5 linked regions of the Macaca fascicularis genome follow. The protein of the gene in region 1 interacts with the protein of each later gene in a biochemical or structural test. Links are inferred from orthologs where the notes say so. Each region holds a gene or a part of one and is shown in the gene's direction. Other genes may lie near its edges.

Evidence for each region.
Region 2: the proteins of MED1 (region 1) and ESR2 form a complex in vitro, tested with the Homo sapiens proteins (2 studies listed by BioGRID). The link is inferred for Macaca fascicularis from reciprocal best matches to the Homo sapiens genes MED1 and ESR2.
Region 3: the proteins of MED1 (region 1) and THRA form a complex in vitro, tested with the Homo sapiens proteins (6 studies listed by BioGRID, with this or other methods). The link is inferred for Macaca fascicularis from reciprocal best matches to the Homo sapiens genes MED1 and THRA.
Region 4: the proteins of MED1 (region 1) and HNF4A form a complex in vitro, tested with the Homo sapiens proteins (2 studies listed by BioGRID). The link is inferred for Macaca fascicularis from reciprocal best matches to the Homo sapiens genes MED1 and HNF4A.
Region 5: the proteins of MED1 (region 1) and VDR form a complex in vitro, tested with the Homo sapiens proteins (5 studies listed by BioGRID). The link is inferred for Macaca fascicularis from reciprocal best matches to the Homo sapiens genes MED1 and VDR.

The regions. Positions count from the first base shown.
Region 1 is NC_088390.1:60,493,789-60,500,247, reverse strand, and holds the start of MED1 (mediator of RNA polymerase II transcription subunit 1), read left to right. Parts: upstream 1-2,105; 5' UTR 2,106-2,299; coding exon 2,300-2,324; intron 2,325-6,459. UniProt on the Homo sapiens protein: Component of the Mediator complex, a coactivator involved in the regulated transcription of nearly all RNA polymerase II-dependent genes.
Region 2 is NC_088381.1:132,119,583-132,125,543, reverse strand, and holds part of ESR2 (estrogen receptor beta), read left to right. Parts: intron 1-4,397; 5' UTR 4,398-4,487; coding exon 4,488-4,849; intron 4,850-5,961.
Region 3 is NC_088390.1:61,144,874-61,150,834, forward strand, and holds part of THRA (thyroid hormone receptor alpha), read left to right. Parts: intron 1-2,115; coding exon 2,116-2,183; intron 2,184-2,752; coding exon 2,753-2,853; intron 2,854-5,961.
Region 4 is NC_088384.1:100,499,457-100,505,417, forward strand, and holds part of HNF4A (hepatocyte nuclear factor 4-alpha), read left to right. Parts: intron 1-1,444; coding exon 1,445-1,681; intron 1,682-5,961. UniProt on the Homo sapiens protein: Transcriptional regulator which controls the expression of hepatic genes during the transition of endodermal cells to hepatic progenitor cells, facilitating the recruitment of RNA pol II to the promoters of target genes. Activates the transcription of CYP2C38.
Region 5 is NC_088385.1:54,595,616-54,601,576, reverse strand, and holds part of VDR (vitamin D3 receptor), read left to right. Parts: intron 1-109; coding exon 110-230; intron 231-2,897; coding exon 2,898-3,069; intron 3,070-5,961.

The DNA.
Region 1 (6,459 bases):
CAGAAGTTAGTAAAGCTTATTTATAAGCTTTATAAAGTTAAAAATGTACTAGCAACACTTAGTACAGACATTTTTTTTATTTGTATAAAAAGTTTCCATGAGAAAGTGTAGTTGGGTATCTGGCATTGGTACTTAGGGCATAATAATTAATGAAAAAAATTTGAGCCCCTGTGATTACAGTGAACAATCATATTTTCAGAACTCTAAATAAGATTAGCCTATCAAAGGCTAGGGTTGTGTTTTTATGGTTGTTTATTTGTCTGAGACAGCGTCTTGCTCTACCACTCAGGCTGGAGTGCAGTAGCATGATCTCGGCTCACTGCAACCTCTGCCTCTGGGATTTAAGCGATTCTCCTGCTTCAGCCTCCTGAGTAGCTCTGTGCCTGGTCGTGTTTTCATGTTTGTATTACCAGTTCCAAATATACACATATTAGGACTCCACAGATGCTTACTAAGTGAAGAACACTTAGTTTGAGGATAGCAAATTATACAGTTTTTTCTTTTTTTTTTGAGACAGAGTCTCACTCTGTCACCCAGGCTAGAGTGCAGTGACATGATCTCTGCTCACTGCAATTTACGCTTCATGGGTTCAAGTGATCCTCCTGCCTCAGCCTCCTGAATAGCTGGGATTACAGGAGCGCACCACCGGGCTAATTTTTGTATTTTTCGTAGAGACGGAGATTCACCATGTTAGCCAGGCTGGTCTCAAACTCCTGACCTCATTTGATCCACCTGCCTCGGCCTCCCAAAGTGTGGGGATTACAGGCGTGAGCCACTGCGGCCAGCCAGAAATAGTTTTGAAACGAAAAAAATGAGAAAAGGGGAATGAACTGTGCTAGTCTCGCTTTGAACATCATGTTACAATGCGCCACTATCTTTTTTTTTTTTTTTTTTTTTTTTTTGAGACGGAGTCTCGCTCTGTCGCCTAGGCTGGAGTTCAGTGTCACGATCTCCGCTCACTGCAAGCTCCGCCTCCCGGGTTCACGCCATTCTCCTGCCTCAGCCTCCCGAGTAGCTGGGACTACAGGCACCCGCCACCACGCCCGGCTAATTTTTTTCTATTTTTGGTAGAGACGGGGTTTCACCGTGTTAGCCAGGATGGTCTCGATCTCCTGACCTCGTGATCCGCCTGCCTCGGCCTCCCAAAGTGCTGGGATTACAGGCGTGAGCCACCGCGCCCGGCCGCGCCACTATCTTTCTTAGGATGTAATTACTGCGTCTAGTATCTCAGGTTAAACTTATTTTTCTTTTTTTTTTTTTTTTTTTTTTTGAGACGGAGTCTTGCTCTGTAGCCCGGGCTGGAGTACAGTGGCCGGATCTCAGCTCACCGCAAGCTCCGCCTCCCGGGTTTACGCCATTCTCCTGCCTCAGCCTCCGGAGTAGCTGGGACTACAGGCGCCCGCCACCTCGCCCGGCTAGTTTTTTTGTATTTTTAGTAGAGACGGGGTTTCACGGTGTTAGCCAGGATGGTCTCGATCTCCTGACCTCGTGATCCACCCGTCTCGGCCTCCCAAAGTGCTGGGATTACAGGCTTGAGCCACCGCGCCCGGCCCAAACTTATTTTTCATGAGACATTTCTGATACCGATACCCTTTGAAATGCTAGTCTTGGCCGGGTGACTAGCCAAGGCGAAACCCCGTCTCTACTAAAAATACAAAAATTAGCCAGGCGTGGTGGCGGGTGCCTGTAATCCCAGCTACTAGGGAGGCTGAGGCAGGAGAATCGCTTGAACCCGGGAGACGGAGGTTGCAGTGAGCCGAGATCGTGCCATTGCACTCCGGCCTGGGCGACAAGAGCAAGGCTCCGTGTCAAAAAAAAAAAAAAAAAAAAAAAGCCAGTCTTTAAGTACAGCGACATGTTAATTAATCAGTTAATTTGCGAGTTAACTGCTAAAATAAAATAAGCAAAAAAATGCCGGTTTCCGAAGGGAGCTGAAAGCTACATACAGCGGCGTGAGGCCTGAGACAACTCAGATCAAAGAAGACAGGGCTGAAAGAAATCTCGCGAGGCCCACGCATCGACCAATATTCGCGAGATTTCGATGCCCTGTCCTTTTCCTCTTTCTGGCAGGACCACGGTTTATCTCGCGAATTTTGGGAAGTTCCGTTGGGGAAGATGGCGGCGGCCTCGAGCACCCTTCTCTTCTTGCCGCCGGGGACTTCAGACTGATCCTTCCCGCGAAGAGTAAGGGACTGCTGGTACCCTGCGTCCTGGAATCCCGAGCCAACTTGTTTCCCCCGTTAGTGGTGGGGAAGGGCTTATCCTTTTGTGGCAGATCCAGTCTCTCGCCGCCTTCAGGATGAAAGCTCAGGGGGAAACCGAGGGTAAGTGACTGAGGGGGAAAGGAGGGGGCGGGACACAACTGGGGGAGCCAGTTTGTGAGAGAAGGTTCTTGCAGATGTCCCATGGGGGCCACTTGAGGGGCACAGAGTCCGGGAGAGGGAATGTGTATGAGTTTTAGATTGTCACTATACCCTCCTTGATGACTATAGAGCTTCGACTTTGGGGTGATGGGGACTCTCAACTTCTGTGAAGATTTCATGCTCGGCTAGGGCACTTTTGGCCTAAAGTGGTGCGAGACGGGGCTAGTGAATACAAAACCAGCTTACATCTCCTTCCAGAAGAGACGCCTGAATAAATTTAGGGCTGTGTGTAAACGTACTGGAGACTATTTTGGCATGAATGAAATGATTAATTCCTTGTATTTATTAGCAGCCAGCGGATCCCTACAATGTCAAGTGTTCAGATCCTGTACTGTTGTGTATTTTGTTTTTGTTTTTGTTTTTTTTTTTTTTTTTTTTTTGAGACGGAGTCTCGCTCTGTCGCCCAGGCTGGAGTGCAGTGGCCGGATCTCAGCTCACTGCAAGCTCCGCCTCCTGGGTTCACGCCATTCTCCTGCCTCAGCCTCCCCAGTAGCTGGGACTACAGGCGCCCGCCACCTCGCCCGGCTAGTTTTTTGTATTTTTTTTTAGTAGAGACGGGGTTTCACCGTGTTAGCCAGGATGGTCTCGATCTCCTGACCTCGTGATCCGCCCGTCTCGGCCTCCCAAAGTGCTGGGATTACAGGCTTGAGCCACCGCGCCCGGCCTGTTGTGTATTTTTAAACTGTGCTGAATTTAATTCTTTTATTGACCGAACTAATAACTGCAGAAAAACAACTTTCCTGGGGAACTTTACTAAGATTTTCTAAAGTTCCACACTCCGGCTTAGATGCTTCCTTGGCATTTTGGGCATAGTTCTGTTGATACAGTGAGCTGTGTTATTGTTTGTTTATCTCCAGTTTACTCTGAGCTTTGCAGATTAGGGTCCTTGCCTGATTCATTTTTATATAGTTTCTGGAACGTAATAGTCGCTCAAAAAATCTTGGAGCATCGAAGTGCAGATATTTATCAGCAGGTTTCTCAAGAAAAACAAGGAGTGTGTTTTGGAGGAGAGGTCGAAAGGTGAGGCCCCGCGGGAGCAGTGACTCACATCTGTAATCCCTGCGCTTTGGGAGGCTGAGGCTGGAGGATCCCTTGAGCCCAGGAGTTCGAGACCTGCCTGGGCAACATAGTGAGGCCCTGTCTCTACAAAAAAATGAAAAATTGCCGGGCGCCGTGGCTCACGCCTGTAATCCCAGCACTTTGGGAAGTCGAGGCGGGCGGATCACCTGAGGTTGGGAGATTGAGACCAGCCTGACCAACATGGAGAAACCCTGGCTCTACTAAAAACACAAAATTAGCTGGCTGTGGTGGCGTATGTCTGTAATCCCAGCTACTTGGGAGGCTGAGGTGGGAGGATCACTTGAACCCAGGAGGTGGAGGTTGTGGTGAGCCAAGATTGTGCCATTGCACTCCTGCCTGGGCAACAAGAGGGAAACTTCCTCTCAAAAAAAAAAAAAAAAAAAAAATTGGCTGGGCGTGGTGGCTCATTCCTGTAATCCCAGCATTTTGGGAGACCAAGGTGGCGGATCACCTGAGGTCAGGAGTTCAAGACCAGCCTGGCCAACATGGTGAAACCCTGTCTCTACTAAAAATACAAAATTAGCCCGGCATGGTGGCATGCCTGCAATCCCAGCTACTTGAGAGACTGAGGCAGGAGAATCACTCAAACCCAGGAGGTGGAGGTTGCAGTGAGCCAAGGTGGTGCCACTGGACTCCAGTCTGGGCAACGAGAGCAAAACTCTGTCTCAAAAATATAAATAAATTAATTAAAAATAAATAAATAAATAAAATAAAAAATAAAAAAAATTAGGGCCAGGTAGTGACTCAAGGATGTAGTCCCAGCACTTTGGGAGACCGAAGCAGGCAGATCACTTGAGCTCACAAGTTGGAGACCAGCCTGGACAACCTGGCAAAAGCCTGTCTCTACAACAAATATAAAAATTAACTAGGCATGGTGGCACAAGCCAGTAGTCTCAGCTACTTGGGAGGCTGAGGTGGGAGGATTACCTGAATCCTGTAGGTCAAGGCTCCAGTGAGCCAGAATTGTGCCACTGCACTCCAACCTGGGTGACAGAGCGAGACCCTGTTTCAAGGAAAAATTAGCTATAGCCCCAGCTACTCTGAAGGCTGAGCTGGGAGGATCACTTGATCCTGGAGCATGGGAGGTCGAGGCTACAGTAGACCTTGATTGTGCCAATGCACTTAAGCCGGGGCTGCAGAGTGATGCTCTGTCTTAAAAAAAAAAAAAAAAAAGAAAAAATGTACTCCTCAGGTGCAAGGGGAGAAGGGTAAAAATGGAAACTTTGTGAAGTAGGAGTTTTTGTCTGGTTTGTTCACTGCTGTCTTTTTAGCAATTTCATTTATTCTTTTTCTTTTTTTAAAAAATTTTCCTCTCTAACCCAGTTCAATAACTTTTTTTTGACACAATGTCTCCATCTGTTGCTCAGGATGGAGTAAGTGGTGTGATCAAGGCCCATCTCTGAAGCTTCGACCTCCCAGGCTAAGGTGATCCTTCTGCCTCAGCCTCCAGAGTAGCTGGGGACTGACTATAGGCACATGCCAGGAGGCTTGGCTAATTTTTTTCTTTTTCTTTTTTTTTGAGACAGAGTTTTGCTCTTGCTAATGCTGGAGTGCAATAGTGTGATCTCGGCTCACTGCAGCCTTTGCCTTCTGGATTCAAGCTATTCTCCTGCCTTAGCCTCCCAAGTAGCTGGGATTACAGGCATGCACCACCATACCAGGCTAATTTTGTATTTTCAGTAGAGACAGGGTTTGGCCGGGTGCGGTGTCTCAGGCCTGTAATCCCAGCACTTTGGTAGGCTGAGGTGGGTGGATCATCTGAGGTCAGGAGTTCGAGAGCAACTTGGCCAACATGGTGAAACCCCGTCTGTACTAAAAATACAAAAATTAGCTGGGTGTGGTGGTACATGCCTATAATTCCAGCTACTAGGGAGGCTGAGGCAGGGGAATTGCTTGAACTCGGGAGGCGGAGGTTGCAGTGAGCCAAGATTGCACCACTGTACTCCAGCCTAGGTGACAGAGCAAAACTCCATTTCAAAAAAAAAAAAAAAAAGTAGAGATAGAGTTTCACCATGTTGACCACGGTGGTCTCAAGCTCTTGACTTAGGTAATCTGCCTGCTTCGGCTTTTTAAAATGCTGGGGTTACAGGTGTGAGCCACTGCGCTTGGCCTGACAAATTTTTTTTTTTTTAAAGTAGTGACGAGATCTTGTTATGTTGCCCAAGCTGTAGTTGAACTCCCCAGCTTAAGTATTCTCCCATGTTGGCCTCCCAAAGTGCTAGCGAGGATTACAGGTGTGAGCCACAGTGTCTGGCCTCCCCAGCACTTTTACTAGTGCTTGAGGTCGGGTGTGGTGGCTCACACCTGTAATCCCAGCAGTTTGGGAGGCCGAGTGGACGGATCATCTGAGGTCGGGAGTTCGAGACCAGCCTGACCAATGTGGTAAAACCCCATCTCTACTAAAAATACAAAATTAGCTTGGTGTAGTGGTGCGTGCCTGTAATCCCAGCTACTTGGGAGGCTGAGGCAGGAGTACTGGTTGAACCTGGGAGGAGGTAGAGGTTGCAGTGAGCCGAGATCGCGCCATTGCATTCCAGCCTGTGCATCAAGAGTGAAACTTCGTCTCAAAAAAAAAAAAGTTTGGATAGAAAACAGTCCAGCTGTATGGTATTCCTTACATCAGACCTATAATTTGTGTGTCATCTTGCCATTAAAAATGTCTTCTTTTTTTTTTTTTTTTTTTTTTTTGAGACTGAGTCTGGCTCTGTCGCCCAGGCTGGAGTGCAGTGGCCGGATCTCAGCTCACTGCAAGCTCTGCCTCCCGGGTTTACGCCATTCTTCTGCCTCAGCCTCCCGAGTAGCTGGGACCACAGGCGCCCGCCACTTCGCCCGGCTAGTTTTTTGTATTTTTTTTAGTAGACATGGGGTTTCACCGTGTTAGCCAGGATGGTCTCGATCTCCTGACCTCGTGATCCGCCCGTCTCGGCCTCCCAAAGTTCTGGGATTACAGGATTGA
Region 2 (5,961 bases), on another chromosome or scaffold:
GGCTAATTTTGTATTTTTAGTAGAGACAAGGTTTTGCTGTGTTAGCCAGGATGCTCTCGACCTCCTGACCTCATGATCTGCCCACCTTGGCCTCCCAAAGTGCTGAGATTACAGGTGTGAGCCACCGTGCCCGGTCTCAGAATCCTTTCACAGACATCTCATTTCATCCTTAGAGCACTGTGAAAAGATACAGCACCAAATAGGTACCTGTTTCTACTGAAGAAGATGTGGCAGCTCAGGGAATTTGTGGATTTGTCTAAGATTGCCTGACTTTCAGGCAGAGCTGGGGCTAGAATGATTGTTCTGCTCTGTCCGTTGATAGAATATACATAAGAACAGGCTTGATGGTGGCTGACCTTGTTTTTTTTTTGTTTTTTTTTTTGTTTTTTTTTTTTTGAGACAGTTTTGCTCGTCACCCAGGTTGGAGTGCAGTGGTGCGATCTCAGCTCACCGCAACCTCCACCTCCCCGGTTCAAGTGATTCTCCTGCCTCAGCCTCCTGAGTAGCTGGGTTTACAGGGATGCGCTGCCACGCCTGGCTAATTTTGTATTTTTAGTAGAGACTGGGTTTCTCCATGTTGTTCAGGCTGGTCTTGAACTCCTGACCTCAGGTGATCCACCCACCTCGGCCTCCCAAAGTGCTGGGATTACAGGCATGACCCATCCATGCCCAGGTGACTGATTTCTCTTTTTTTTTTTTTAAATGGAATCTCTCCCTGTCGCCCAGCTGGAGTGCAGTGGCATGATCTCGGCTCACTGCAACTTCCGCCTCCCAGATTCAAGCAATTCTACTGCCCCAGCCTCCCAAGTAGCTGGGATTACAGGTATGCACCACCATACTCAGCTAATTTTTGTATTTTCAGTAGAGATGGGGTTTCACCATGTTGGTTAGGCTGGTCTCGAACTCCTGACCTCATGATCTGCCCGCCTTGGCCTCCCAAAGTGCTGGTATTACAGGTGTGAGCCACCACGCCCGGCCCTGATTTCTTATTAACTAGATTTATAGTTGCTTTGATAAAAATCAGTCTAGTCTTTTTGGAGTGTCTTTCTGCCATTTCTAGGGCCAACCTTTTTCTTCTCCATGAATCACTGTCAATATTGGGAATTTTAAATACCTTTTTTTAAATTCAGAAGCCATAGTATGTTCCCCAGCCAGTATGTTAGAACACCATGCATGATCCCATGTGTACAAAAAGCTTTCTGGCTGAATTCGGATGTGACCTGAGAGGGCCAAACAGAGGGGTATGTGCTGGGGGAGTGAGAGAAATCTCTAGACAGAACACAGGCTGTTCCCCACCCAGGATATGGACCAACTATTTTAGGTTATGGTGACTAATTAAAGAAAATTGACATGCAAATAAATGAATAATTCTTAGAATCAGGATGTCTGGTACTGGTTCTTTGGTTGGCCAGGTGAAATTCCATGCCAGGCCCAACAATTAAACTCTTTAGAGACTTTTTTTTTCCTGTTGTACCAGAACATTGTACTGAGGCCATGTTTGAACATTCAAACGATGTGTTGGGAAAATGCTGCCTTACAATGTTAAATTAAATCTTTTGGGGAGTCTTTCCTTTGACCAGTTTATATCTCTGTTTTAGAGGAGGGCTTCTCAACCAGAATGGGTTTGTTGATTTATTTTTATAGACCTCTGGTAGAGAAGAGACCCCCCCCTTTTTAATTTTTTTTACTACCTGTTGTCCTGTCTCAGAGAACTATTACAATGGTGTAAGTTCATCATTCCTTCCCCTTATTATGGCTCTGCTTAGGAAGAAAAAATCTTTGCCTTGGCTACCAAGTTCCTATCTATTCAAGATGCCACTGACAAAGAGTGAATCTGTGAATCACATGAATCTGGTATATCTGAAATATATCCAAACAAAAAGCACCTAGCCTTTTAATGACTCTCCAGAAGTCAGTTCTCTGACTGTAATTATCATCCCTTTGGGGGTATGTGGAAATTCTACACAAGTTGATTGGTGATATGTTGAGATGTGAGATCTATATTTTCTAAGCAAAGTTGCCATGCACCTGATTGATTGGCTAGGTGCATCCTGGCGTTTGTCGTTTGTTGGTGTGGTCTGATAGTTGGTTTCACCACTGCTGGGTACCCAGAGTCATCACATCCATAGAGACAGAATGTAGGCTGGTGGTTGCCAGGGGCTGGGGGAGGGGAGGAGTGGGGAATTTGTTTAACAGATAGAGGCTTTTAGTTTTGCAAGATGAAATGAGTTCTAGAGATTGGTTGCACAACAATGTGAATATACTTAACACTACTGAACTTTATACTTAGAAATGGCTAGGATGGTAAATTTTATGTTACCTGTATTTTAATACACACACACACAAAAACTTTGGGCCAGGCACGGTGACTTACACCTGTAATCCCAGTACTTTGGGAGGCTGAGGTGGGCAAATCATAAGGTCAGGAGTTCGAGACCAGCCTGGCCAACATGGTGAAATGCCGCCTCTACTAAAAATACAAAAAATTAGCCGGGTTTGGTGATAGGCATCTGTAATCCCAACTACTTGGGAGGCTGAGATAGGAGAATCGCTTGAACCTGGGAGGTGGAAGTTGTAGTGAGCCAAGATCGCGCCACTGCACTCCAGGCTGGGTGACAGTGTGAGACTCCATCTCAAAAAAAAAAAAAAAAGCAAAAAAAAAGTAATGAGAGCTTACTTCAAGATGGCAGCAAAAGACAGACAGAGGAAAAAAGGCATTGGGAAAAAAAACCAACGTGCCTTGGTGATTAAAGTTAACTGAGTCAAGGGGAGAAGTCAAAGGTAACTATAATAGGCTTTTTCTATTAACACAAATAGGGAATGAGTGGTTTTGGGAAAGAAAGTGATGAATTATACCTCAGATATTATATTGTCTATTACTGTGGCCAGGCACAGTGGCTCACACCTGTAATCCCAGCACTTTGGGAGGCCAAAACAGTCAGATCACTTGAGGCGAGAAGTTCGAAACCAGCCTGGCCGACATGGTGAAACCCTGTCTCTACTAAAAACACAAAAATTAGTGTGGTGGCATTTGCGTGTAATCCCAGCTACTCAGGAGGCTGAGGCATGATAATTGCTTGAACCTGGAAGGCAGAGGTTGCAGTGAGCTGATATGGCGCCATTGCATTCCAGCCTAGGTAACAAGAGCGAAACTCTGTCTCAAAAAAAAAAAAAAAAAAGATTTGCCTGTAATGAGCCAGTACCCCCAGCTTTGTGCTCACTTTACATGCAAAAATTATGTTGTTTACTGTAGAGCAAAAATTGAAGGGCACATTCAAAACTGAGAGGTAGGCCAGGTGTGGTGGCTTACGCCTGTAATCCCAGCACTTTGGGAGACCGAGGCAGGTGGATCACTTGAGATCAGGAGTTCGAGACCAGCCTGGCCAACATGATGAAACCCCATCTCTACTAAAAAATACAACACATTAGCCAGTCATGGTGGTACACACCCGTAGTACAGCTACTTGAGAGGCTGAGGCAGGAGAATCGCTTGAACCTGGGAGGCAGGAGGTTGCAGTGAGCTGAGATCACGCCACTGCACTCCAGCCTGGGTGACAGAGTGAGATCCTGTCTCAAAAACAAAAAAAAGACAAAAGCAAAACAAAACCTAGAGGCAACAGATTGATAAGTGACACAGTTACACTGGTCAGTCTCTTCTGCTAATACCTGTTGTCTTTCATTATTGAAGATTCATAACATGTTTTCTTTTTTATTTTTTTTGAGATATGGTCTTACTCTATCACCCAGGCTGGAGTGCGGTGGCATGATCTCTCCTCACTACAAACTCTGCCTCCTGGGTTTAAGCAATCCTCCTGCCTCAGGCTCTTGAGTAGCTGGGACAACAGGCACATGCCACCATGCCTGGCTAATTTTTGTAGAGATGAGGTTTCACCATGTTGCCCAGGCTGGTCTCGAACTCCTGACCTCAAGTGATCCACCCACCTCAGGCTCCCAAAGTGTTGGGATTACAGGCGTAACTCACTCACTTGGCCTCAGTGTATTTTAATATTGGTTGAGACTAGCCTTGCTCATTGATCTTCTCTTTTAGGGTTTACTTGGTTATTCTTGCTTATTTTTCCATAACAACTTTCATTTTTATTTAATCCTGTGTTTTCTAGTTTTAAAGACTATTTTATAATAAATTTTCATCATTAAACTCTTGTGCTTAAACTGTTGATTAAACAAACAAACAATGAAGAGATGAATGAAGCAGAAAATGTGAGTTTCATGCCTCACATTCCCACTCCTCTGAGGTTAATATTTTCATATATATATTTTCAGGATGTATTTGTAATCTCATACAAATGTGTGTATTTTTTTAATGAAAATATTTAAATTTTTGTAGTTACACCTGTAGCTCTAACTAACTTGGCAATATCCTCTGTGTTTCTTTACAGCCATTATACTTGCCCACGAATCTTTGAGAACATTATAATGACCTTTGTGCCTCTTCTTGCAAGGTGTTTTCTCAGCTGTTATCTCAAGACATGGATATAAAAAATTCACCATCTAGCCTTAATTCTCCTTCCTCCTACAACTGCAGTCAATCCATCTTACCCCTGGAGCACGGCTCTATATACATACCTTCCTCCTATGTAGAGAGCCACCATGAATATCCAGCCATGACATTCTATAGCCCTGCTGTGATGAATTACAGCAGTCCCAGCAATGTCACTAACTTGGAAGGTGGGCCTGGTCGGCAGACCGCAAGCCCAAATGTGTTGTGGCCAACACCTGGACACCTTTCTCCTTTAGCAGTCCATCGCCAGTTATCACATCTATATGCAGAACCTCAAAAGAGTCCCTGGTGTGAAGCAAGATCACTAGAACACACCTTACCTGTAAACAGGTAAGTCCAGTCTTCATTCTGAATTATAGTTCCTAGCCATTTCTCAAATCACTTTATGGTTTAGTGAGAAGGAAATAATATGTTAGACAAGGTCTTTATTTTAATTTTAATTTTTATTTTTTTGAGACGGAGTCTCGCTCTGTCGCCCAGGCTGGAGTGCAGTGGCACCATCTTGGCTCACTGCAAGCTCCACCTCCCGATTTCACGCCATTCTCCTGCCTCAGCCTCTCGAGTAGCTGGGACTACAGGTGCCCATCACCACGTCTGGGTAATTTTTTGTATTTTTAGTAGAGAGGGGGTTTCACCATGTTAGCCAGGATGGTCTCGATCTCCTGACCTCGTGATCCACCCGCCTTGGCCTCCCAAAGTGCTGGGATTACAGTCGTGAACCACTGCGCCTGGCCTAAGTTCTTTATTTTATTAATTACATAGTTTACTTAGAGCACCCAAAACACAGGATGCCCTGTTCTATTCTGATACTTTAGTTCTCATTAAAAAGTGGTATGTGTACATCAGTGTTGTGGGGAGAATTTGCTATCATGACTATTGTCTTTATACAGTAAAGACTGAACTTAAGTCACTCTTTTTCTTTTTTTGAGACAGGGTCTCGCTCTGTCACTCAGACTGGAGTACAATGGCGCGATCTCGGCTCACTGCAACCTCCACCTCCTGGGTTCAAGCGATTCTAGTGCCTTAGCCCCCTGAGTAGCTGGGATTACAGGCGCGTGCCACCATGCTTAGCTCATTTTTTTTTTTTTTGTATTTTTAGTAGAGACAGGGTTTCACCATGTTGGCCAGGCTGGTCTTGAACTCCTGACCTCAAATGATCCGCCTGCCTTGGCCTCCCAAAGTGCTGGGATTATAGACGTGATGAACAACTGCGCCTGGTCTGAACTTAAGTCACTGTTAACGGAGTTATTTGGATTTGAAAAATGATTTTTACTTTACTTTCAATTTTAGAGTCGTCTTATAGTGAAATCACAATTTAATGTTAATGACAAATTGTTTCCAGGATAAAAGTAACTGTGGCAGTATTACAACTTAAATGAAATTCTAGACATGCAAAGCCTGAAAAGACAGATGATTGGTATAAGCTTTTTAACCATGAACTA
Region 3 (5,961 bases), about 650 kb from region 1:
ATACAGAGCAAATTACAGGGAGCACATAAGGGGCCCTTCCCTAGACAGTGCTGGGCAGTCTCAGATGCCCCCAACGTCCCCTCCACCATTGCTGCCCTCACCTTGAGCATGTGGGATCCAAACAGCCTTGCCATTTTCCTCCTCTCCCTGCCAGCCCATTTACTATCTGACCACAAGTGCGTTTTCCACAGGCTGTGGTTCACGTAGTATGACATTTCAGGGCACATGCACCAGTAACTATTGGTCACAGCCCACGCTTATATTTGGAATCTATTGGGAGCCCCACAAGCTCTTCCTTGTTCATGGTCAAGGGCGGGCACTGCGATGGGGCTCCTCCCAGAAAGTGCAAAACCATGACGGTTTTGCTTCCACGTGGGTGAGGTGTCAGCCTTGCACATACACCAAGGGATGGTTACCTATGATCTGCATTGCCCTGGAGGAGCCCAGAGGGTCTCTGCCTTTTCCATCAGCTCCAAGTGGCACAGAGCTTTGTCCCAGTTGGCACGGTGCCCTGGGAGCTGGGTACAGCCTGTGCCTATGGCCAAGGAGAGGGTGGGGGTAGGGGTGCTCCAAGGAGCAGTGTGGCTGACTGTTTCCTAGGAGATCAGATCCTGAGCCAGGAAGCCAGAGGCCTGGCCAGGCAAAGCCCTAAGGCCCACAACTGGGTCCCTGAAGGGTAGAGGAAGTAGATGGAACTCACAGCTCGGCAGGGCATGGGATAGCCCCCCTTCCCCAAAGCCTCACCCCAGGAAGGACTCTGAGGATGATCTGGCCTGTAGCTGTGTGGCTGTCACTTGCAGCCCCTGTGTCTCCCAGCTTAGGCTTCTGTGGGTCTGCAAGAGTCTGCTCCTAAGGCTTGGAGAAAGGCAGGAATGCCAGTTCCTAGTCCCCTAAGACTGCAGCCCCTCCCCCATTGCCTTCCCCTCCCCCATGTCTATGCGCCACCTTGTGGCTATCTCTAGGACTGCACTCAGAGGCTGTGAGTCTGGTGGTAACTCCTGAAGCTGCCAGCTCAACTGGGACCTAGGTGGCCTGAGTTCCCCTGCACCCAACCTTCTGGAAGGCGTGAGGGAGACCTGACCTTTCAGCCTCGTAGGAAGTAGACGGGAGTAATCCCCAGGGGGCGTGGAGCACAGAACTGTCTGTGACTGTGACCCTGGCCAAGGTCACTGTGTCAGTGTGTTGGGAGCTGCATCCGGCTCCAGGAGGAAGGGGCCTGCAACATGCCACACACAGGGTGGGTGCGGGAGCTTATACAATCCTTGCATGCATGTAGAGGGTTTATGTAACCTGTGTGCACTGAGGTTATGTAACATGTATGTGGAGAGCCTGGCAACATATATGTGCAGTGGCTGAGGGTTGCTAATAATACCTTGCACAGAGGGGCTCAGTCCTGGCTCTGACTCCAGCTCATGGTGTCACCAGGCACAAGTAGGGTCTCAGTTTGCTGCTTTGTTAAATGGAGGCTGTGCAGGGGGTGACTCTAGTGTTTTCCATTGCTGTGGGTTATTTAGCATGTATGTATGATCTGGAGCTCAAGCAACACGTGCACACTGGCGGGATGAGGGTGGTTTTATGAGGTGCCTGTGCAGAGTGTTGTGTAACACCGGGCCATATCCTAGAGGTTGTATAGCACATTTAAGAATGCCCTGAAAATTTCACAGATATGTCAGCCCTGGTGCATACTCACCATCCGTGGGTTTATAGTGAAAGCTGCATGGTTATTCATCTGCGCCGGTGTTATGTTGCATATGTATGTGTGTGTTCTAAAGGTTACATAGCTTTAAGCATATCCTGAGAATTCTTCCAGCGTATTTGTCGTGTACTGAAAGATGAGGATGTCCTGCGGATTGTGGGTGCTTCAGGTCTTCTGGTGGGTGAATGTGTGTGTGTTGGGGCTCTAGAACATGCTTGTGCCACAGCCAAGCCCCTTATCTCTCTCCCCTGCAAATTCCAGATAGCTGGACCCTTTTAAGCATTGTCAGCTGACCCTGGGGGTGGGAGGTAGAATGAGGACACAAAATGGAGCCTGGGGGGGATTGTATAAGCCTCTTGGATGAGAAAGGGGCCACCCGAAGACTGCTCTGTGATTCTGCCCACTTTGCCCCCATCCAGTGCCAGGTCACCAGATGGAAAGCGAAAAAGAAAGAACGGCCAATGTTCCCTGAAAACCAGCATGTCAGGTGAGGCTGGCTGTGCGTGCCCCTTCTCCACGTCCCCGACCCCACCAAACCCAGCCAGGGCTCCCTCTGGACCTGGACGTGGAACAGTAGTTCCTGTGTTCCCTGGGGGGAGCTTCCTAGAGGGCTTGGGATGGACTTGTCTGGGGCTGAGAAAGGTGATGATGGATGTGCCCAGCTTTTGAGGGTGGATTAGGTCAGGAAGGCCTCTTCCCTCCCCCTAGTACTCTCATCTGAGGCCCCACCAGAATCAGGGCCTGAGCTGAAGGACTGAGGGGCTGTGTTATCCCCAGTGAGCTGCTGAGATTTATTTTTCCCTCTCCACCATCCTCTGCCTTGTAGATAGAGCAAGAAGAAAGCCCTGAGTGGGTAGTCAGAAGAACTGAGATTCTTCATACTCTTAGGGCAGAGGATGGACAGGTTCACCTCCCGTCTCTCTAGGATTCTACCAGGGAGGCTGGGCTAGGAGAGGGGCCAGAAACAAAAAGTTGAGGGATGGGGAAAAGTGTGAGAGCCCCTCTGCTGGGACTTCAAGCCATGCCTGCCTTCCTCCATCCTTTCCTTCCTCCCAGGGTATATCCCTAGTTACCTGGACAAAGACGAGCAGTGTGTCGTGTGTGGGGACAAAGCAACTGGTTATCACTACCGCTGTATCACTTGTGAGGGCTGCAAGGTATGGAAGCTACCTCCTGCCCCTCCCCTGCCACCTGAGCCCCCGTCTTACTCCCTGTGTCACCTAAAGCCCCCCTGTTAGGTCATCACTTTTTTTTTTTTTTTTTTTTCTGAGACGGAGTCTCATTCTCGTTGCCCAGGCTGGAGTGCAGTGGCGTGATCTCGGCTCACTGCAATCTCCACCTTTGGGTTCAAGCGATTCCCCTACCTTGGCCTCCCGAGCAGCTGGGATTACAGGCATGTACCACCACACCCAGCTAATTTTTTTGTATTTTTAGTAGAGACGGGGTTTCACCAACAGTGTTAGCCAGGCTGATCTCAAACTCCTGACCTCAGGTGATCCACCCGTCTCGGCCTCCCAAAATGCTGGGATTACAGGAGTGAGCCACCGTGCCTAGCTATTTTCTCTTCTCTTATTCATTCATTTGCTCATTCATAATTCCTCCTCTGCCACTCACAGGAAAATTGCCTAACTTCTTTGAGCCTTAGTTTCAGTTTCTTCATCTATAAAATGGGGATAATCATTCTCTCTACCTTATGGCATTGTTGGGAGAATGAAATAATTCACCTGAAGTGTTGAAAACAGTGCCACCGGGTGCTGTGTCTCATGCCTAAAATCCCAGCCCTTTGGGAGGGAGGCCAAGGTGGGAGCATCCCTTGATCCCCCGAGTTTGAGACCAGCCTGGCCAACACAGTGAGACCCTGACTCTCCAAAATTAAAGAAGTTAGCTGGGTGTGGTGCCACATGCCTGTGGTCCCAGCTGCTCAGGAGGCTGAGGTGGGAGGATTGCTTGAACGCAGAAAGTCAGGGCTGCATTGAACGGTGGTGGTGCCACTGCACCACTTGCTCTGGTGACAGAGCAAGATTCTGTCTCAAAATAAAATAACAAAATATAAAAAATAAAACAGTGCCACGCCCATAAGAAGCATTTAATAAAAAATGCCAGCCATCAGCCATTCATTCAGTGTATTATTAGGTGTGAGAGTGTAGTACATACCTTGCCCTCAAGCTGCTCACAGCCTGTCAGAGAGAGACACAACTTGAGACAAACATCAGCAAACATCAGTGTTATTCAAAATGTGGTTCGTGGACCATCTGCCCTACTAGTTAAAATGCAGATTCCCAGGCTTCATCTTTTTTTTTTTTTTTTGAGACAGCATCTTGCTCTGTCGCCCAGGCTGGAGTGCAATGGCACGATCTCGGCTCACTGCAACCTCCACCTCCCAGGTTCAAGCGATTCTCCTGCCTCAGCCTCCCGAGTAGCTGGGACTACAGGTGCCCACCACCATGGCCGGCTAGTTTTTATATTTTTAATAGAGATGGGGTTTCACCATTTTGGCCAGGACGGTCTCGATCCCTTGACCTCGTGATTCGCCTGCCTTGGCCTCCCAAAGTGCTGGGATTACAGGCGTGAGCCACCGCACCCGGCCTGCCCAGGCTTCATCTTAACCCTACTCGCTCAGAGCCCTTTTGTGGAGCCCAGGGATCTTCCTTTTAACAGAATCCTGGAGTGTTTCCAATGCACCTGAAAGAGCAAGAGCCAGTGCTGGGGGTGTAGTGGGAGCTGGGAGCACAGAGGAGAAGAAGACAGCAGGTTCTTCCTGGCAGAGGGGACAACAAGGTCATAGACTTTGGGAGGCCTAACTGTTTTGTTTTGTTTTGTTTTGTTTCTTTGAGACGGAGTCTTGCTCTGTTGCCCAGGCTGGAGTGCAGTGGTGCGATCTTGGCTCACTGCAACCTCTGCCTCCGGGGTTCAAGCAGTTTTCCCTGCCTCAGGCTGGGTAGCTGGGATTACAGGCACCCGCCACTAAACCTGGCTAATTTTTGTATTTTTAGTAGAGATAGGGTTTCACCATGTTGGCCAGGCTGGTCTCGAACTCCTGACCTCAGGTGATCTGCCTACCTCTGCCTCCTAAAGTGCTTGAGAGGCCTAATTAGATTTCACTTTGATCATTTCAGCCTGGATAGCCTTTCCAGGATCACCTCCTAAAAATTCAAGGCCTTCCAAGAAACAGAATTATTTAAATCCCAGCACTTTGGGAGTCCAAGGCAGGCAGATCACCCGAGGTTGCATTGTTTTCAACACTTCAAGTGAATTATCTGATTTAATTCTCCCAACAGTGCTATCAGGTAGATAAAATGATTATCCCCATTTTATAGATGAAGAAACTGAGACTCAGATAGGTTCAGCAATTTTCCTGTGAGTGACAGAGAAGGGGTTATGAATGAGCAAATGAATGAATGAGTAAGGTCAGGAATTTGAGACCAGCCTGGCCAACATGGTAAAACCCTGTCTCTACTAAAAATACAAAAATTAGCTGGGTGTAGTGATGCATGCCTGTAATCCCAGCTACTTGGGAGGCTGAGGCAGGAGAATCTCTTGAACCAGGGAAATGGAGCTTGCAGTGAGAGCAGAGATTGCATCACTGCACTCCAACGTGGGTGACAGAGCGATACTCTGTCTCAAAATAAAAAAAAAAAAAGAAAAGAAACAGAATTATTTATATGTTAAAGGCCAGGTATGGTAGCTCACGCCTGTAATCCCAACACTTTAGGAGGCCAAGGCGGGAGGATTGCTTGAGCCCAGGAGTTTAAGAACAGCCTGGGCAACATAGTGAGACCCTGTCCCTACAAAAAAATGTTAAAAGCAGCCAGGCATGGTGGTGCACGCACACCTGTGGTCCCAGCTACTCAGGCAGCTGAGGTAGGAGGATCACTTGAGGCTGGGAGGTCCAAGCTGCTGTGAGCTGTGATTACGCCATTGCACTCTACCCTGGGTGACAGAACAAGACCCTGTCTCAAATAAAAAAGGAAAAAAAGGTTAAGGCTTGAAGTTTCTCTCTGTTTCTTGGTGTCAACCAAACCAAGACCATGAGGGATTTAGAGTTCCCTAGCAGTGGCAATACAATCCTGGAAGCAATACAAACAGTGTAGCATAGAGAAAGGATCTTTTACTCTTATGGACATCTGAGTCCCAGGGAGACACCCTGAAAAGGCAGAGATGCCTTGGCCCCACCCTTGGAGAGTTTGATTTTGTAGTTCTGGGGTGAGACCCAGGAATCTGCATCTTTGGTAGGTGCTTTTGGTGATTTTTTTTTTTTTCAAGAC
Region 4 (5,961 bases), on another chromosome or scaffold:
TAGTGCTCGGCATGAGGCTGGACTGGCAGAATTGTTCTGCAAAATGGGCAGGATCACTGATGCTGAGTCAGAGGCAGCAGCCTCCAGCAATTTGAAGGGGTGGGGAACCTAGTTCCCCTGGCATGCAGGAGGTGCTCAGTAAACATTTGTGGACTGAATGAACAAATGAACAAACATGATTCAGTGGAGAGAGCTCACTAGAAATGTGGGTGAATGTTCTTTCTGCCACTTCCTTTCTCCAGGAAAGAGGAAATAAATGCATTACCTCCACAAAGGTCGGGATTAAATATTGAATGACCGCTTAAGTCCCTTCTAGGCTAAGGATCTAGAATTTATTCACTGATTTTTTTTCATTCATTCATCCAGCCATCTAACAAAATATATATATAGTTATAAATAAATGTAACGCCCGGCCCTATTCAATAAATATTGACTATGCATGGTGCTAGGTGGTGGGTTTGACATGGCAAAGGCTAGGTGCAGTTGCTCACACCTGTAATCCCAACATTTTCAGAGGCAGAGGCAGGCAGATTACTTGAGGTCAGAAGTTTGAGACCAGCCTGGCCAGCATGGTGAAACCCTGTCTCCACTAAAATACAAAAATTAGCTGGATGTGGTATGTGCCTGGGCTGAGGCAGGAGAATCGCTTGAATCCGGGAGGCAGAGGTTGCAATGAGCTGAGATCACACCACTGCACTCCAGCCTGGGAGTCAGAGGGAGACTCAGTCCCAAAAAATAAAATAAAATAAAGTAAGATAAAATAAAAATGGCAAATAAGACATATGCCTGCCCCTGCAGAGCTCAACTTTGGATGGCACAACAATTACATCCTGTGTGGTCAGCAGTGATGGAGGGGCCGCAGAGATTTGGAAACAGGAAGGACACAGGATGCAGACATAGGAGGGTAGAAGGGAGACTTCCTGGAGGAGATGAAACCTAACCTGAGTCCCTAAGGTGATAGGAAGCAGGAACCAGGGAAGGGGAGCCTATTCTAACACAGTAGAGGCAGCAAGTGCTGAGGTCTGGATGAGGGGACCTCAACTGTGGCCCAAAACCCCAAGTTCCCATCGTGGCTCTGCCAACAACTGGCTGTGCCACCCAGGACAAGCCCTATCCTTGCACTGTGTCTGGGTTTCCCCTTGTGTAAGATGAGGCAGTTGCTAGGTGCTTATTGGATGCGTTCCTCAAGTCCCGCCCTCCATCTCCTTTTCCCCACTCTTCTGGTTTAGTGCCTTAGGAAACGTGGCAGAAATCTTTTTCTGCCTGTGTCTAGGAAATTACAATTCATACTGGCATACCCTGGTTGTTGAGGTCCCTGAATCCTTGTGCCCACACTGCTGAAGACTCCTTGTGTGACACAAGTCAGGGGACATCTGGGTCTTGACTCCCCAGATTCTCCAGCTGGACCCTACTGCCCTCCCTTGCCCACCTTCTTCCATTGTAGATGCCAAAGGGCTGAGCGATCCAGGGAAGATCAAGCGGCTGCGTTCCCAGGTGCAGGTGAGCTTGGAAGACTACATCAATGACCGCCAGTATGACTCGCGCGGCCGCTTTGGAGAGCTGCTGCTGCTGCTACCTACCCTGCAGAGCATCACCTGGCAGATGATCGAGCAGATCCAGTTCATCAAGCTCTTCGGCATGGCCAAGATCGACAACCTGCTGCAGGAGATGCTGCTGGGAGGTCCGTGCCAGGCCCAGGAGGGGCAGGGTTGGAGGGGGGACTCTCTAGGAGACAGCCTCACACAGACCTGAGCTCACCCCTCAGCTCCTTGGCTTCCCCACTGTGCAGCTTTGGGCAAGTTGCTTAACCCATCTGTGCCTCAGTTTCCTCATCAGAAAAATGGGAACAAAGGCAATGGTCTATCTGTTCAGGCGCTGAGAGCCTAGCACATGCCAGTCACTGTTCTGAGTGCTGGCAATTCAGTGAAGAACATGATCTTTGCCCTCCGGGAGGCTGTGTATGTGTGAGTGTGTATAGATGCATGGATATCTGTGTATATGCCCGTATGTGTGTGCATGTGTGTATAAAGGCTCACATTTTATGATTTTGAAATAAACAGGTAATATGGTAGAGTTTAACTGAAAAGGAATCCTCTTTAGATAGGGGAGGCCAAAGGAGACCTCTCTGAAATGGTGACTCTTGTGCTAAGACCCTAATGGCTGAAAGGAAGTGCAAGGCTTAAAAGACAAGAGAGCAGTGGCTCACACCTGTAATCCCAGCACTTTGGGAGGCCAAGGAGGGCAGATCACGAGGTCGGGAGATCGAGACCATCCTGGCTAACACAGTGAAACCCTGTCTGTACTAAAAATACAAAAAATCGGCTGGGTGTGGTGGTGGGCGCCTGTGGTCCCAGCTACTCGGGAGACTGAGGTAGGAGAATGGCGTGAACCTGGGAGGTGGAGTTTGCAGTGAGCCGAGATCGTGCCACTGCACTCCAGCCTGGGCAACACAGCGAGACTCCATCAAAAAAAAAAAAAAAAAAAAAAAAAAAGAGAGGAATATTCCAAGAAGAAGGAACTACTTCAAGGGCCCCGGAGAGGAGAGAGTTGTGTGTTTGAGAAAGAAGGGCAAGGTTGTGAGATGGAGGAGATGGAGGAGGTGAAGATGGAGATTGGGCAGAAACCAAATCATAAACATATGGCTTTGTAAACCTTGTCAGAAATTTGGATTTTATTCTCATTGCAACTATTGTAAGGAGAGTGAAAACCAGACTAATTATTTTTATTCTTTGAGACAAAATTTCCCTCTATCATCCAGGCTGGAGTGCAGTGGCAGGATCTCGGCTCACTGCAACCTTCACCTCCCAAGTTCAAGCAATTCTCCTGTGCAGCCTCCCAAGTAGCTGGGATTACAGGCACCCGCCACCACGCCCAGCTCTTTTTTTTATATTTTTAGCAGAGATGGGGTTTCACCCTATCGGCCAAGATGGTCTCAAACTCCTGACCTCAAGTGATTGCCCACCTCGGTCTCCCAAACTGCTAGAATGACAGGCATGAGCCACCATGCCCAGCCCAGACTAATGCTTTAAACAAACCACTCAGACTGTTGGGTACAAAGTAAATTGCAGAGATTCCTGAGAATGTCACTGTCTCCAATCATGTGACAGATGATGAAGGCTTGGACCATGGAAATGGAGCAGTGAAGATAAACCGGATCATCTATTTGGAGGAAGAGCCCACACCCACAGGATTTGCTGACTGATTAGATGTAGGGAGTGACAGGAAGAGGAATAGTCAAGGACAGAGTCTAAATTTTTGCTTTGAATAGCAGAAATGATGATGGAGTAGTTTACCGAGATGAGGAGGACAGAATAAACAACTTGATGCTGCGGTCTGGGGGTGGTCGTGAGGGGTGACCTCAGAGATCCGTTGTGGACTCTCTTTTTTTCCTTTTTCCTTTTTTTTTTTTTTTTTTTTTGAGACGAGATCTCTCTCTGTCACCCAGGCTGGAGTGCAGTGGCGCAGTCATAGCTCACTGCAGCCTCAACCTTCCAGGCTCAAGAGATCCTCCAGTCTTCCGAGTAGCTGGGACTACAGGTGTGTGCCACCATACCCGGCTAATTTTTCATTTTTATTTTTTATAGAGACGACGTCTCACTATGTTGCCCAGGCTAGTCTTGAACTCCTGGTCTTAAGCAATCCTTCCGACTTGGCCTCTCAAAGTGCTGGGATTACAGGTGTGAGCCACCATGCCCAGCCTCATTGTGGACTTTCATTAAGCATGAGATGACTATTACAAGTCCAAGTTGCCGAGGAGGCAGTTGAATGTATGAGTCTGCTGCTCAAGCACAAGATTAAAGGCAGCTCTGTGGAATCGGGGGAAGATGGAGCCATGGAGGGAAGGGAAGAAGAATGGCCGGAGGGGTAGGAGAAAACCAGGGCAATTCCAGAATCCAAGAGAAGAGCGTGTTTGAAGGACAGAGTGTTTAATGGTGTTACACTCTGCAGAGAGACAGAAAGAAGGAGGGAGGAATGGAGAGGTGAAGGGAGGAGGGGAAGAGAGAGGAAAGAGTCCATTGGATTGGCAGCTGGAGGCTCTTGGCAATTGTGTTGAAAGCAGTTTCAGAGAGCTGGGAGAGTGGAAACCAGATTGGAGAGTGCTCCAAAGACAGCAAGTGGGAAGGTGGAGATAGAGTAGATAACCCTTTGAAATGGTTTGACTGTGAAGGGGAGTATGAAGGAGTTAGGATGACTGCAAGGGAGTGATTAGAATGATAGGTCATGCAGTCTGGGCTGCACTCAAAGAGAAATAAAGACAGAGGCTGGGTGCGGTGGCTCACACCTGTAATCCTAGCACTTTGGGAGGCCGAGGCGGGTGGATCACTTGAGGCTAGGAGCTCAAGACCAACCTGGCCAACACAGTAAAACACCATCTCTACTAAAAATACAAAAAAAATTAGCCAGACGTGGTGGCATGCGCCTGTAATCCCAGCTACTCGGGAGACTGAGGCAGGACAATCGCTTGAACCCAGGAGACGGAGGTTGCAGTGAGCCGAGATTGTGACATTGCACTCCAGCATGTGTGACAGAGCAAGACTCTGTCTCAACAACAACAACAAAAGGATGGGGTGATAGTGAAAAGAGAGTGTCAGTGAATTGACAGCCTCAGTAGGCTGAAGAAGTTTTGCAGTGATGGTACTAGATTAAGGGAGCTGGAAGGACACAAGGTGAAGTCAAAGTAGGGATGTTGAATTCGAGATTTTGGAGGTGCTTCAGTGAGGGCGAGGTTTCTCAACACTGGTACTATTGATACTTGGAACTGGACGATTCTTTGTTGTGCTGGGCTGTCCTGTGCGTTGTTTGGCTGCATCTCTGTCCTGTACCCATAAGGTGCCAGTAGCACTTCTCCAGTAGTGACAACCAAAAATGTCTTCGGATATAGTCAAACGTCTCCTGATGGGCCAAAATCATCCCCAGTTGGGAACCACTGTTGTGTGATAGCTTATTTCATTCTCACTTTGACCCTGTGAACATGGGGTTACTATGAATCAGGTGTCACTGAGATTAGGATCAGGAGCCTGTGGTCTGTTGCCAAATAGTTAAGAGCTCTGGGCTTAGTTGTCTCATCTGTAGAATGGGGTAATAATAGTATCCATTCTATAGGATTGTTGTAAGGATTAAATTATGTAAAACATGAAAAGTGCTATACAACAGTACCTGGCACATGGTAATTGTTAATTATCAACAGTCGTTATTTATCACTGAGATCGATGTGCTGTAGAGATCTCTTACAAGCATTGAAATTCCATCATTGTCATATTACTCACCATAGGCTATTATTAAACCATACCCCATGTGGTATTTTTACTCCCTGACACATGTTTAAAGCGGTTACTGTGTTCCAGACAATCTGCTAGGCTCTCAAAGAAAGAAGAAAAATACATCTGAAATTGTAATGCTCATAGACAGAAGAAGTAGTTGTTCCTAAAAGTTGTGTTACAGATAAATTACTATGAGAAATCCAAGGAATGAGAACGAGGAGAATCAGGAGAGGCTTCTAAAGAGAGGAAATATATGAGCTGGGATTTGGGCTTATGGACGTGGAGCGGGTTTGGGGTGGAAAAAACATCTCTGACGGAAGCAACAACGTGAGCAGAAGCATAGAGATAGGAAAACACAGGGGACACATAGATGCTATAAGTAGGTCAGTTGGCTGCAGCAGAGATGTGGGGGATGAGGCTGGAAGGTGAGGCGGGACCAAATGGTTGAAGGACTTGCACGCCAAGGAGCCTTGAGAGCCATTGATTACATCCAATACGCTACTCATTAGAACATTTACTTGATCTCAGAGCTTCCTTATAGGCACCTTGTTTCTTTCAACTCACTTTTGTTCTCTTGGTTTTTTGGGGCCTTCTTAACACCCTCATGAAGCCTACGAATGGGAATGGTACACCCTAGTTTACTAACCCAGGAATAGGTCCCCAACAGGCATTGCCAATATTGGATGGGCAGGTTGATTGG
Region 5 (5,961 bases), on another chromosome or scaffold:
GCTTCGCCTTTCCATAGACCTTCCTCAAAGCCATTCCTATCAGAGATCAGGGCCAAGATAGGAAAGTGACCCCAAAATGTGGGTCTGAGACCCCATCTTTCCCTTCCAGCCTCCAGTTCGTGTGAATGATGGTGGAGGGAGCCATCCTTCCAGGCCCAACTCGAGCCACACTCCCAGCTTCTCTGGGGACTCCTCCTCCTGCTGCTCAGATCACTATATCGCCTCTCCAGGTAAGCAGGACTTCAGTCCTCCATGGAGTAAGGGAGCGGGGGTGAGGAGTCCACCCCACCTGCCCTGGGGCTGCTGGATGGAAGGAGGTGGAAGGCTCCCTAATGGAAACTTACATACATACTGTGTGCCATGCAGTGTCCTCAAAACAGCCCGTCTGTTACAGAAGGGGGTGACTTGCCCAAAGGCCCACACTGGGGAAGAGGCCAAGCTGGGATTCCAGCTGTGCAGCATCGGGCTCCCGGGCCCATGCTTTTTCCTCTAAGCCAGGCTTCAGCCCATGGCCCCCTCCCTGGAGGTGACCTGCTTCCTTTAAGTGATATTTTAATCCTGGGCCCTTCAGAAGGTGAAATTTGGAGTGGGAAGGAGAATGTGTTGGTCCCATTGCGGCCCACCTTCCACCTGAGCTCTGGGGACCACTCTGGCCCTGGAGGACCTGTCCCCTCCAGCTCAACTGAGAGTCTGGGAGGCATCATGCTTTCCTTCCTTCCTTTTTTTTTTTTTTTTTTTTGAGATGGAGTCTTGCTCTGTTGCCTAGACTGAAGTGCAGTGGCACCATCTCGGCTCACTGCAACCTTTGCCTCCTGGGTTCAAGCGATTCTCCTGCCTCAGCCTCCTGAGTTGCTGGGACTATAGGCACGTACCGCCACACCTGGCTAATTTTTGTATTTTTAGTAGAGATGGGGTTTCACCATGTTGGCCAGGCTGGTCTCCATCTCCTGACATTGTGATCTGCCCCCTTGGCCTCCCAAAGCGCTGGGATTACAGGCGTGAGCCACCGCGCCCCGCCCATGCTTTCCTTCTTATGGCCTTTTTCTTCCTTCCTCTTCATCACCCTGCCTCATCTGCCCCCTGCTCTTGTCCTTCCTCCCTCTACCCCTAACCTGACCCTGCTGTCCTCTGCTTGGGGTCTGCAGGAGGGCAGGGATGGGAAAAAACTTTCCCCTCCAGGCAATTAGAACCTTAGATAAAGTAATTCCATACTCAGTGATGAATCTCTGCCCAGATCCAGAATAGATGGAAAGGGTCCCAGTGCCCCTGGACAGAGATACTAGTTAGAACACTTGCTCCCTGCATGATCAGCTGACCCTCCCAGCCCCTCACCTCGTAGGAATCCCTCCCACTTGTCACTTTTCTGTACTCACCTTCCTGCTCTTTTCAGTTGATAGCATATTTATTTATATCAATTAAGGCCAGTCTGTTTAATCCATATGTTGCTCTGTATTTCAGCTTTCAATAGTAATTCTATACTACTTAGGAGGCTTTTTGTTGTTGTTTTTTGTTTTTGCTTGTGTTTTGTTTTGTTTTGAGACAGAATCTCACTCTGTCACCCAGGCTGGAGTGCAGTGGCACAGTCTCTGCCTCCCCGGTTCAAGCCATTTTCCTGCCTCAGCCTCCAGAGTAGCTGGGATTACAGGCACCCACCACCACACCTGGCTAATTTTTGTATTTTTAGTAGAAATGGGGTTTCACCATGTTTGCCAGGCTGGTCTCGAACTCCTGACCTCAGATGATCTGCCTGCCTTGGCCTCACAAAGTATTGGGATTACAGGCATGAGCCACTGCGCCCTGCCTATTTAGGAGTTTTTTGATACCCTCTTGTAAGTTCACTGATTCAAGGTGCTTAAACCGCCCTCCCCACAAGTGGTGTGTTCAGTATAGCATATATTTATTTAAAAATTCAAACAAGTTAACCTTTTTATTTTTTAAAAAAATTATTATACAAAAGTAATACATGTTCATCTTAGACATTTGGAAAACATAAACTAAATTATATATATATATATACTTTAATCCTGCTACCCAAAGATAATCACTGTTAGCACTGTAATATATCTCTTGCCTCTTTTTTTAAAAACACATATGTACATTCAGAAAAGAAATTTTGCTGTATACAATCTGATGACTTGTTTTTTTAATATTGCATTGTTTTTCCTTACAATTTAGTATGCATCCAGAACATAATTTTTAAAGGCTGCACAGTATTTTGGAATACAATAATGTACCTAAATCCCCTACTATTGGATATCTGGATTATTTCCCAGTGTTTTAGTAAGACAACAGTATACTTATAGCTAAATATTTACACTTATCTGAAATTTTCCCTTACAATGAATTCCGGGAAGTGGGATTACTGGTCAAAGAGTACACACAATTGTTTCACTAATGTCAAATAGCTTTCTAGATTACCTGCAGTAATGTGCATCTCCTTTAGCACCCCAGCCCTCATAGGCATTGCCTATTTCCTACATCTTTATAAATACTGGCATCAGTATTTAAACATTTTTGTTTCTGGTTTATAGGTGAAAAGTGTAGATGTTCTACATTGCAGTTCTTTGATCATTAGCAAGGTTGAACATTTTTTTCCATGGGTTGATGGGTCCCAAATTCATTTCTGATTGAGATCCGTAGGAACAGCACATGGTCTGCCTGAGGAAGTCTCATTGCTCTGAGTGTCTCTGGCTCCTTGCTTTTACTGTCTCACGCTGCTGAAAGAGGCAGAGAGAGTCCCAGAGGGAAGCCTGGGCTGAAGGGTGACCTCTGGAATCACTGCGGGATTCCCAGCTGGCTCTCCTGCCAGGGCACACCAGGTCTTTGCAGGGGCTGGCAGGAGTGGTCCTGGTCCAAGTACCCTTAAATAGCTCCTTCTCTTCCCTCATCTCCCCCAGACATGATGGACTCGTCCAGCTTCTCCAACCTGGATCTGAGTGAAGAAGATTCAGATGACCCTTCTCTGACTCTAGAGCTGTCCCAGCTTTCCATGCTGCCCCACCTGGCTGACCTGGTCAGTTACAGCATCCAGAAGGTCATTGGCTTTGCTAAGATGATCCCAGGATTCAGGTAAGAAACTTCTGCAGTATCTAGGGAACAGAGTCAGAGTCCTAGACTGAGCTATAAGAAGGGCTGGAGATCACCCATCCACCACTCCTTTTTTTTATTTTTTATTTTTTTAAATGGAGTCTCACTCTGTCACCCAGGCTGGAGTGCAGTGGCGCCATCTTGGCTCACTGCAACCTCTGCCTCCCAGATTCAAGCGATTCTCCTGCCTCAACCTCCCAAGTAGCTGAGATTACAGGTATCCACAACCATGTCCAGCTAATGTATGTATGTATGTATGTATGTATGTATGTATTTTTATTTTTCCAGATGGAGTCTCGCTCTGACACCCAGGCTGGAGTGCAGTGGCGCTATCTCGGCTCACTGCAACCGCCACCTCCCAGGTTCAAGCGATTCTCCTGCCTCAGCCTCCTAAGTAGCTGGGATTACAGGTGCATGCCACCATGCCCGGCTAATTTTTGTATTTTCAGTAGAGATGGGGTTTCACCATGTTGGCCAGGCTGTTCTCGATCACCTGACCTCATGATCTACCCGCATCGGCCTCCCAAAGTGCTGGGATTATAGGCGTGAGCCATCACACCCTGCCCTAATTTTTTTATTTTAGTAGAGACGGAGTTTCGCCATGTTGGCCAGGCTGGTCTCAAACTCCTGACCTCATATGATCCACCCGCCTCAGCATCCCAAAGTGCTGGGATTACAGGCATGAGCCACCACACCCAGCCTCCATTGCTTTTTTAAAATAGAGATTCAGGCCCTACCCTAGACCCGCTAAATCAGAACCTCTGGCGTAGGACCAGAAATCTGTATTATGAAGTGCAGCCTATCCTGCATTACTCTGCAGGCCAGCACTGGAGAGCTAGTCCATCCCCTCACTTTCTGGATGATGGTGTAGAAGCCCAGAAAGGTCCAATGGCCAGCCAGGATCCCTTCCTGGTGTTGGAGCCAGCACGTCAGAGCCAGGCCTAGAACTCCCAGCTCACTGTTGTGTTACTCCAGCTGGCTTGACTGGCATCCTCATATTATCTCTTTAAATTCAACGACATGATTCCTCCACACCCCAACTCTGAGAGTAGAATGAAGTGATAGAGAGGAGAAGGGTTGGCCATGTAGACTTGTGAAACAGTCTGGGAATCCTGGAGAAAGACAGGTTTCCTGGCATATATGACCCCGGCATCCTTCACCAAAATGAAGACCATTTAAAGACCATTTCCTGGCCAGGCGTGGTGGCACATGCCTATAATCCCAACACTTTGAGAGGCTGAGGTAGGAGTTCAGCCCAGGAATTCCAGACCAGCTTGAGCAACATAGTGAGACTTCTTCTCTACAAAAAAAAAAAAAAAATTTATAAATTAGCTGGGTGTGGTGGCACATGCCTGTAGTCCCACCTACTAGGGAGGCTGAGGCAGGAGGATCACTTGAGCCCAGGAGGTCAAGGCTGCAGTTAGCCATGATTGTACCACTGCACTCCAGCCTGGGCAACAGAGCAAGATCCCGTCTCAGAAAAGAAAAAAATAAAGACCATTTCCTAACCATACTGAAACATTTTTTGCCAAAATAGGTAAGTATAAGGAGTTCTACTGGAGAAGGGATCCTCCTTTATCAATTCACTCATATAAATTTCATTCATTTATTCCCATGTTTTATTGTTGTAACACTAACAGTGTATATAATACTTATATTTAAATGCTCATACAGTGTTAATATTCTTTTTTTTCCTTTTCTTGTTTGAGACAGAGTTTCGCTCTTGTCACCCAGGCTGGAGTGCAATGGTGCGATCTCACTGCAACCTCCACCTTCTGGGTTCAAGCAATTCTCCTGCCTCAGCCTCCCAAGTAGCTGGAACTACAGGAGTGTGCCACCATGCCAGGCTAATTTTTTGTATTTTATTTTGAGACAAGACTTTCCCTCTTGTTGCCCAGGCCAGAGTACAATGACACAGTCTCAACTCACTGCAACCTCTACCTCCCGGGTTCAAGCAATTCTCCTGCCTTAGCCTCCCAAGTAGCTGAAATTACAGGCACGCACCACCACGCCTGGCTAGTTTTGTATTTTTAGTAGTAGAGACGGGGTTTTACCATGTCGTCCAGGCTGGTCTCGAACTCCTGACCTCAAGTGATCTGCTGGCCTCAGCTTCCCAAAGTCCTGGGATTACAGGCGTGAACCACCACGCCCAGCCAATATTCTTAAAACAATAGAGTACTGACACATTTAGTAGATGTGTTGGGAGATTGCTATATTTATGTATGTTTGTACCTTAATTCTTCCCAAAAGTTCATTTGGCATATTGCCATAAAATACATAAACAATATGGTTGAGAAAGATAAGTAAATCGATCTTAAGCAACGTTATTATCATTTTAAGTAGCAGCAATAGCTGTATTTCCGGTAGAAGGAGAAAAATGCTTCCTAGATACTAATGCTCAGATTCAGTGCTGGAATACGGGGAGCTGGAAAGTGAGTTAACATTGCTGGCTCTGGATGGAAGCAGATATGAGGTGCCATATATCCGTTTGTGAACCTCTTAGCTGTGTAGAAAAGCCATCAGTTATTGCCTAAATTACTGCCTTGCCAGTGAGATGATGGTCATTCACAGAGTTAAACCCAGAACTTTCCAGTTCGTTTCTGCCCTGAGAAAACTGGCTCTGTGTTATTTTATGCCTCTCACCAATCCAAATACCAGAAATTTTTCAATGCTCTTCCTCTGGAATTAATGTGAAAATGGCGAAGAAAAGAAAACTGGCAGACAGTGCTGAGACACTTCTACTGCATTGCACATTTTGGTTGTAGCGACAGGAGCGAGGGCCCCTCTGGCAGGCAGGCACGCAGGCAGGAGCAAGTGACAGATCTCATGTGAGTCAGGCATTGCTCTGAGCACAGGGTTTACCCTCAGAGCCTT